Linked DNA regions of Callithrix jacchus. The protein of the gene in region 1 interacts with the protein of each later gene in a pairwise test. Links are inferred from orthologs where the notes say so. Each region holds a gene or a part of one and is shown on either strand. Other genes may lie near its edges.

The links.
Region 2: the proteins of ACY3 (region 1) and PMM2 interact in binary tests that used the Homo sapiens proteins (3 or more experiments, as listed by UniProt). The two-hybrid records come from large-scale screens. The link is inferred for Callithrix jacchus from reciprocal best matches to the Homo sapiens genes ACY3 and PMM2.

The regions. Positions count from the first base shown.
Region 1 is NC_133511.1:124,734,152-124,738,393, forward strand, and holds the start of ACY3 (N-acyl-aromatic-L-amino acid amidohydrolase (carboxylate-forming)), read right to left. Parts: upstream 2,813-4,242; 5' UTR 2,736-2,812; intron 2,269-2,735; 5' UTR 2,251-2,268; coding exon 2,015-2,250; intron 1,098-2,014; coding exon 902-1,097; intron 602-901; coding exon 508-601; intron 387-507; coding exon 279-386; intron 104-278; coding exon 1-103. UniProt on the Homo sapiens protein: Plays an important role in deacetylating mercapturic acids in kidney proximal tubules. Also acts on N-acetyl-aromatic amino acids.
Region 2 is NC_133513.1:11,051,515-11,055,068, reverse strand, and holds part of PMM2 (phosphomannomutase 2), read right to left. Parts: intron 1,435-3,554; coding exon 1,323-1,434; intron 1-1,322. UniProt on the Homo sapiens protein: Involved in the synthesis of the GDP-mannose and dolichol-phosphate-mannose required for a number of critical mannosyl transfer reactions.

The sequences.
Region 1 (4,242 bases):
TGAGGATGCACGGTGCCTGCCAGGTTCCCAGCCTCTGTGCGAGGGAAGTCCATGATGCCTACAGGTCTATAGGCTTCCATCTCAAAGGTGGGAAAGGCTGTGCCTGTGTGGGAGGCTGGGTGTGTGAGCCAATCCCTCCTTCCAGGATAGGGTACAGAGTGGGCCGTGGGGGGGACATCAGGGCTGGATCCCAGCCTGCATGTGGGCCTGGATCCGCTGCTCCTGAGCCAGGCCTTCTCTTCCTGAGAGCTGTTTCCCACAAGTCCCCGGGGTCTCACCCTGGTTGAAGAGATCGATGAAGTCCAGAACTGTGGCCACCAGGGCCCTCATCCTCGAGAAAATGTCAGCCCGCAGCACACCCTGTGGCTGGGGGCCCAGCTCCAGAGCTGGAGACCAGGAAGCAAGGAATAGGACCCATGAACTCCTTGGAGAGGCCCCGCCCCCTGGTGCATGGCCCCACCCCCAGCCCTCCTGGTCCCGCCCACTTCTCAGGAGGCCCCGGCTTACCCAGTCCATTTTTGGCCACGGAGTCCAGACTGTAGCTCTCCTCCCCGGACCGCTGGTACAGGAAGACCTGGCAGGACAGCTCGGGGTACTGCAGCTGGGGGGCGAGAGAGGCAGGTTAGGGGTCCAGGCCTAGGTGGGAGGGGAAGCAGGTGGGGGGCGTGGCATGGAGGAAGCACAGGGCACCACCCTCCTTGGCCAGGTCTCCCTCTGTCCTCTGGCAGGGCAGGGGAGGGGGTGTCCGGGGCCTGCAGTGCTGGCCGGTGGCAGACCCCGAAGACTGGAACCCAGGGGACCTCAGCCCGGGGAAGAGGGACTAATCAAAGAGGTTCCGGTCTTGCCCCACCCTGCCCTCCTTCCCTCTCCCCTCTGGGGCAGTATGCTCGGCCGAGGCCACCTGCAGATGGCGGCACAGGTGCAAGGCAAAGACGTCGTGGGAGGACTCTGCGATGAAGCAGGTGCCCATGTTGGCCGTGCTGGTGTGCAGGTCAAGGACAAAGTCAAAGGCCTGGCCCGAGGCCTTGGGTCCCAGCAGCTGGTTCAGCTCTCGGGCTCTCGTCACCTCGTATGGGTCATCCGGGGTAGGCCTGGAACTGCGGGAAACGGGAATGGGGGACGCCCACCCCACAGTCTCAGTCAGTCTTCAGTGGTTTAAGTGGGGAGGGGCAAGGGCCCCGCAGGAGCCACTCTGAGCGGCTCAAGGCTTGTCCCTCTTCCGTTGTGGCTGTGCTCGCCCCTGCCCATGGCCCTCTTGGCTCTGCACTTCCCGGTCATGTCCAAGCCCTCAGTCTGGCCTGCCCTCCCGCCTGCCTACCCACTCACCTGCCTCTCATGCCCTCACTCCAGCCACACTGCCCAAGCAGCATGCTGGTCTCACCCGCAGGCCTGTGTTCGTGCTGGGCCCTCCACTGGAAACTCCCTCTTACTTTCTCTTCCCCTGGCTAGTTTTACTCAGCCTTTGGGGCTTGGCTGAGATACCACTGCCTCCAGGAAGCCTTCCCTGACTGCTCTCGGCCAGGTTAGCTGTTTTGTGTAGCCCCCAGGCCTGCCTTTAGCCACCTGGGTTATGGTTGCCCAGTTCTTCCTCTGTGTCCCCATTAAGCAGGAAGCCAGTATCTTGGTCCTATTCCCCCTTCTCTCCCCTGAGCTGGCCAGAGCCTGGTCTGGAGATGGGGCTCAGTGACTATTCTTTGGAAGGAGGCACGAACAGTGGTCAGGGCACATGACAAGTAAACATGGCCTGTGGAGTGAATCTGAAGGAAGCACTGGGTCTGGGATTCCCAGAGGAGGTCCTGACACAACTTGCAGTCAGGAAGGGCTTCTTGGAAGAGGTGACATCAATCTGGGTTTCTCTACATGTTCAGTTTGTCCCCATGGAGGAATGGGCCACACAGGTAGAGGGGAAGCAGGAGTGAAGGCAGGGAGGGCCCTGCTGGTGGCTGGAGGGGTGGTGTGCGGTGGGGACTCGCTGCCCAACTGCCTGTGCCAACCTGGTGGCAAGAGAACTCACTTGAGGAAGGTGCTGGTGAAGGTGCGGTTGAGGTCGCGGTCCACGTAGCGGCGGCAGGCCGTGGTGGCTGCGGGGTTGGCCAGTACCGGCACTGCGGAGAAGCTGGGTCTCTGCAGCTCTGCCGGGGCCAGCAGCCAGTGCCGCACCAGGTAGACGCCGGACATCTCATTGCCGTGTGTGCCCCCGGCCACCGCCACGCGGCGCAGGGGCTCCCGGGGCACGGGCAGTGAGCACATGCTGGCATGGGGCGGCACCTGGGGGTGGGCATACTCAGGAGACCCCGGCCCCAAGGCAGGGCCCCAGACTCAGAGTGGGGATGGCGGTGGGAGGGCTGAGGAGTCCCAACTCCACAGGGCAGCCACCTGCCAGGAGGTGTGGCCGGCTGGGGGTGTCTCAGCTCTGTCCCACCTGCACCCCGGTGGCCCTTTCTCTGATGAGACAATTCTCCTGCTTCTTTGGAGAGAACAAATTTCTTTTTCCTAAACTGAGAAGCGGGGCCCAGTCATTCAGGTAGACGGGTTCACCGAGGCACACTCCCTACAGGGAAAGGGCTCTGCCCCTTTTTATAGTCAGGGAAACTGAGGCTCAGTGTGGGGAGTGGAAAGAAGCGTCACCAGAGTTCACTGTCGTGTGTCTGGGTTCTAGGCAACTGCTGCCCTTCCTGCCTCTCCCGTATGCTCCTCTGAGCTGGTGTGGGGGTCTTAGGGCAGGGGGCACTTACCTGCTGATGTGCAGCTGGGCTTCCCGGGGTACCCTGGCTGGTGTCTAACTGGCAGACAGGCTGGTATTTCTGGGCCTGAAGATCCACAGACGGGAAGTGTTTGTGTCAAGTCGGCAGAGAGCAGGGGGCGGATGGGACGGGCTGAGGTCCACGCAGCCAAAGGTTGGAGTGCCAGGGTCAGCTCCACAGGCACTGCCCCACCCTCCCCTCTCTGCTGCTTGGGCTGCTATGGCCCATTGAGCCCAGGCCCTGCTGGCAAGTTCCTGCCCCTGCCCTTTGTTCCTCTAACACTACTAAGAGGGGCACCTGGGTGGCCACCAGGGTGACAAGTTGTCCCTCCTTCACCACCTCGGCCCCCAGAGGGCTCTGGTCACTCCTGAGTGGCCCTTACCCACAGGTGCCATGTGGAGCCCCAGTTTTGCAGCTCTTTGTTGCTTTAAGCAAAATTTCAAAATGTCAGATTCGATAACCCAGTCATTTTCCAGGACAGCATAATTCAGAGGACTCAGTTTGCCCTGTTTTAGAAACGACCCTCAGGCTCATTTTATAGATGTGAAAACTGAGGTTCAGACGGATGCCCACAGGCACACAGAGCCGCCCTAGAGACAGGCAGGCCAGGGGCACATAGAGCCGTAGTGGCAGGCTGCTGGTGGCACTCAGAGCCCTGGAGGTGGGTTGCAGGTGGCACTCAGGGCATCCAATCTGGCTCCACCCCTCCAGCTACCTCTCAAGAGCAAGGAGGGGAAGGATGAAGGTGAGGTCCCCTGCACTCAGCCCCAGGGCTTGTCCCTCCCACCAGGCTCAGCTGTCTGCTGGGAGAAGCTGAGGCCAGTCCAGAGGTCACTGGGGCGTGAGGCAAGCCGCTTCGCCAGGGCCTGCTGTATGCCAGGCGCTGGGACCCTCAACTGGAGCCTCCCCCAGGCATCAGTCCCAGGCCTTCTTCACCACCACACGGGGTCTCCCCAGGACAGCCCAGCCCTGCTGCAGATGCCAGGCTCACCAGCCTGGGGGGTCTCTGGGTGGCTAGGACCCTCTAGGCTAACCCCTCTCGGAAGCTGCCCAGATCACACTCAACTCTGTGTGGCCTGGGCTCTCCTGCACCCACACTCGGGGCTCTGCAAGCTCAGAGCACGGGGATTGTGGGGCAGGGGACTTGTCGTCCTGGCTCCCATCAGGGCAGCTGGGTCCTTGACGAGGTGCCAAGAGGGGCAGATGGAGCGTGAGGCTGAGCACCCAGCAGGCCAGGGCTACCTAAGAGCCCCTCCAGGGGCCACCACTCCTGGCATCTGGAGCCTCAGCAAAAGGAGGGCAGAGACTGCCATTAGGGGGCCATGCCATGCCATCCACTCTGGCCCAGCCCTGGGGGCAGCTGTCACTGACTCCGTTTTCCAGGTGTGGACTGAAGAAGCTCCGGGGCTTGAGCAACTTGACTGAGTCCCTGGCAGGTGGCAGGAGAGGGAGTCAGCAGAGGAGCCTGCTGGCCTGGGTCTGGTCCCTCGTTGCTTGG
Region 2 (3,554 bases), on another chromosome or scaffold:
TGAACTCCAGCCTGGGCAATAAGAACAAAACTCTGTCTCAAAAAAAAAGGTATATTTATAATAGCAGCTCTCAAATGGGGATGATTTTACAAGGAGGTCATTTGGCAATGTCTGGAGACATTTTTGGTTGTCATAGCTGTATGTGTGCATGTGTGTGTGCTGCGGGCACGCAGTGGGTAGAGGCCCGGGATGTTGCTAAATACCCTACATAGCACAGGACAGCCCTAACTGGTCCAAAATATCAAGAGTGCAGAGGTTGAGAAATCTTGCTCTAGAGGAGCTGGTTCCAAGATGTGAGAACTCTGGGGACAACAGGGGATAAAAGAACAATCAATTCATCCATCTCTGCCCTTACTTTTTTTTGTTCTTTTTTGAGATGGAATCTCGCTCTGTCGCCCAGGCTGGAGTGCAGGGACACAATCTCGACTCACTGCAACCTCCGCCTCCTGGGTTCAAGCGATTCTCCTGCCTTAGCCTCCCGAGTAGCTGGGATTACAGGCTCATGCCACAACACTTGGCTAATTTTTTGTATTTTTAGTAGAGACGGGGTTTCACCATGTTAGTGACTTGACCTCGTGATCTGCCTGCCTTGGCCTCCCAAAGTGTTGGAATTACAGGCGTGAGCCACCACCACCATGCCCGACACACTTACAATTTCTTATAGGCCAAGAGGTCCTGGGGCTATGGAGATGAATAATCCATACTCTTGCTCTTTAAAAACGTATCATCATATAGTTTGCAATAATTACAGAATGCTACATTAGCAGGGTTGTGCACCAGAATCTCTCAGAGGTACTTGCTAAGATAGGATTCCCAGGCCCCATAGACCTATCAAGTCAGAATCTCCAGTAAAGGGGTCAATAAGCTTCTCCAGTTTTCCAGGGTCTTGTGTTGACAATTCTGTTCCAGTGGTGGGGAGGTGAGAGAGGCTGTCAGAGGGACAATATGAAGACCGGCCGGACTAAGGCTAGAAGGGCAGTGAATGGGTACAAGTAAGAATTATTCCAGGCAGAGAGATTACCATGTGCAAAGACACAGCAGCTGACCTTCCTAGGTGAATCTACCTACACATCTGAGCACCCAGTTCTCCATCAGTAAATCTTGAAATTTACTGGATTAAAAGCAGAGGAAAAATAAAGATGAAGAAAATGTTTCCAAAAATTAAAAAAAATAAAAATAAAAAATGAAAATGTTTCCCAAACAAGGAAGCAGAAAGTCTGCCATATGGGAACAAGAATTCAGGGCAGCCTATGATATTCAGCCACAATATCCTCATAAGAAGTTAATGTTCTACCAGATACGATCAGCAACTTATCACTTACCATCATTTCCCAGTTGCTCCTGTACTTTCTCAAAGTCCGACCCGCCTACTACTCCGATTTTGATCTTCTGCCTCAATTTTTGCAGGAAGTCATCCATTTCTTTGGTAATTTTCTAAATTTCAAGAAGGAAAACACAACAGTCATTAGCCACAAAATAATCAGGTGACAAAAACTCTAAGGGTAACACAATTACACAAGTTTTATTTTTTTCTTTAAAAATTAAAGAAAAAAAATTTTTTGGCATACAGTCTCACTTGCCACCCAAGCTGGAGGGCAGTGGTATAGTCATAGCTCACTGTAGCTTCGACCTCCCTGGGCTCCGGTGATCCTCCTACCTCAGTCTCCTGAGTAGCTGGGACCACAGGTATGTGCCACCACACCTGGCTAATTTTTAAATTTTTTGTAAAGACAAAGTTTTGCCATGTTGCCCAGGCTGGTCTGGAACTCCTGGGTTCAGGAGATCTGCCAACCTTGGCCTCCTGAAGTGCTGGGATTACAAGCATGAGCCAGGCCTACAAGCCTTATTTTCATACATGCCAATTCAGTTACCAGCAATGTACACAGTTCAAATATTTCAGTTGTAATTTGGAGGCATTTTTACCAGAATAAACTTGTTATTTTTGCCAAACTTTAAACACACAGGCAATAGATTAGTAGCTGTTCTGCAATGTCCCAGTTATTTTTCTATGCATTTATAAGACTCATCTATGGGCACATATAGAAATAGGCCTTATTTTTGAAACATAAATGGAATCATTCTATGTACTGTGCAGTGACTTGCTTTCTCAGCACTATGTTATGGCGATCTTTTCATGCAACACAGATCTAACTCATCCTTCCTTTTAAATACTACACTATACACAATTTATGGATTTAAATTTTTTTTCTTTTTTTTTTTTTTGAGACAGAGTCTTGCTCTGGATGCCAGGCTGGAGTACAGTGCCATGATCTCGGCTCACTGTAACCTCTGCCTCAGCCTCCCAAGTTGCTGGGACTATAGGCACATGCCACCATGCCCGGCTAATTTCTTTTGTATTTTAGTAGAGACAGGGTTTTACCATGTTGGCCAGGATGGTCTCTATTTCCTGACCTCCTCATCTGCCTGCCTCGGCCTCCCGATGTGCTGGGATTACAGACGTGAGCCACAGTGCCTGGCCCAAGTTGTTGATTTTTAAACAAATTAACAATGAGATTAAAGAGGAAGCTCAGAACTGATTTATTGCCCAAAACAAAAAAATGTAAAAGAGTAAGATGACTAGAATTTTTAGTCTCTTCTAAAAGCACCTATCTAGAAAGAGTGATCTTAATGGTATAATCTTACAGTACATTCCAGACTGTGTGGTGATTTTAAAAAGTTGTAAACTAAGATGAAAAAATAGCCCTAGGCCGGGTGCAGTGGCTCACGCCTGTAATCCTACAACTTTGGGAGGCCGAGGTGGGTGGATCACCTGAGGTCAGGAGTTCAAGACCAGCCTGGCCATCAGGGTGAAGCCCCATCTTTAAAATAAATAAATAATTAAAAGAAAAAGAAAAAATAGCCCTACATTAAGACACATCACAATTTTTTTTAAACTGTACTTTAGGTTCTGGGGTACATGTGCAGATCATGCAGGATTGTTGCTTAGGTACATACATGGCAACTCCCCCCATCACCTCTATCTGGCATTTCTCCCCATGTTATCCCTCCCCAACTTCCCCACACCTCGCTGACCCTCCCCTAGGTATTTTTACAAGTCTTATAACTCAGTACCTTGAGTGGTACATTTACACTGAATGTCTTTTTTTTTTTTGACGGAGTCTTGTTCTGTCACTCAAGCTAGAATGCAGTGGTGGTCTCAGCTCACTACAACCTCCACCTCCCCAGTTCAAGCAATTCTCCTGCCTCAGCCTCCCAAGTGGCAGGGATTACAGGTGCCCATCACCACACTTGGCTAATTTTTTTGTATTTTTAGTAGAGACAGGAGTTCACCATGTTGGCCAGGCTAGTCTCAAACTCCTGACCTCGGCCTCCCAAAATGCTGGGATTACAGGCATGAGCTATGGTGCCCAGCTGAGTATCTCTTTTAAAAAGTTTCTAGAAATTTAGAAAATACAAAAAGCCATTTAATTCAACCTCAGTTTAAGAACACTTGGAGTCCAATGATTAAAAAAAATTTTTTTAAGAGTAATACATGAATTTGATAAATAAAATTGTACAGACAGGTTTGTAATAGAGTGCAATCTTTTCTACCT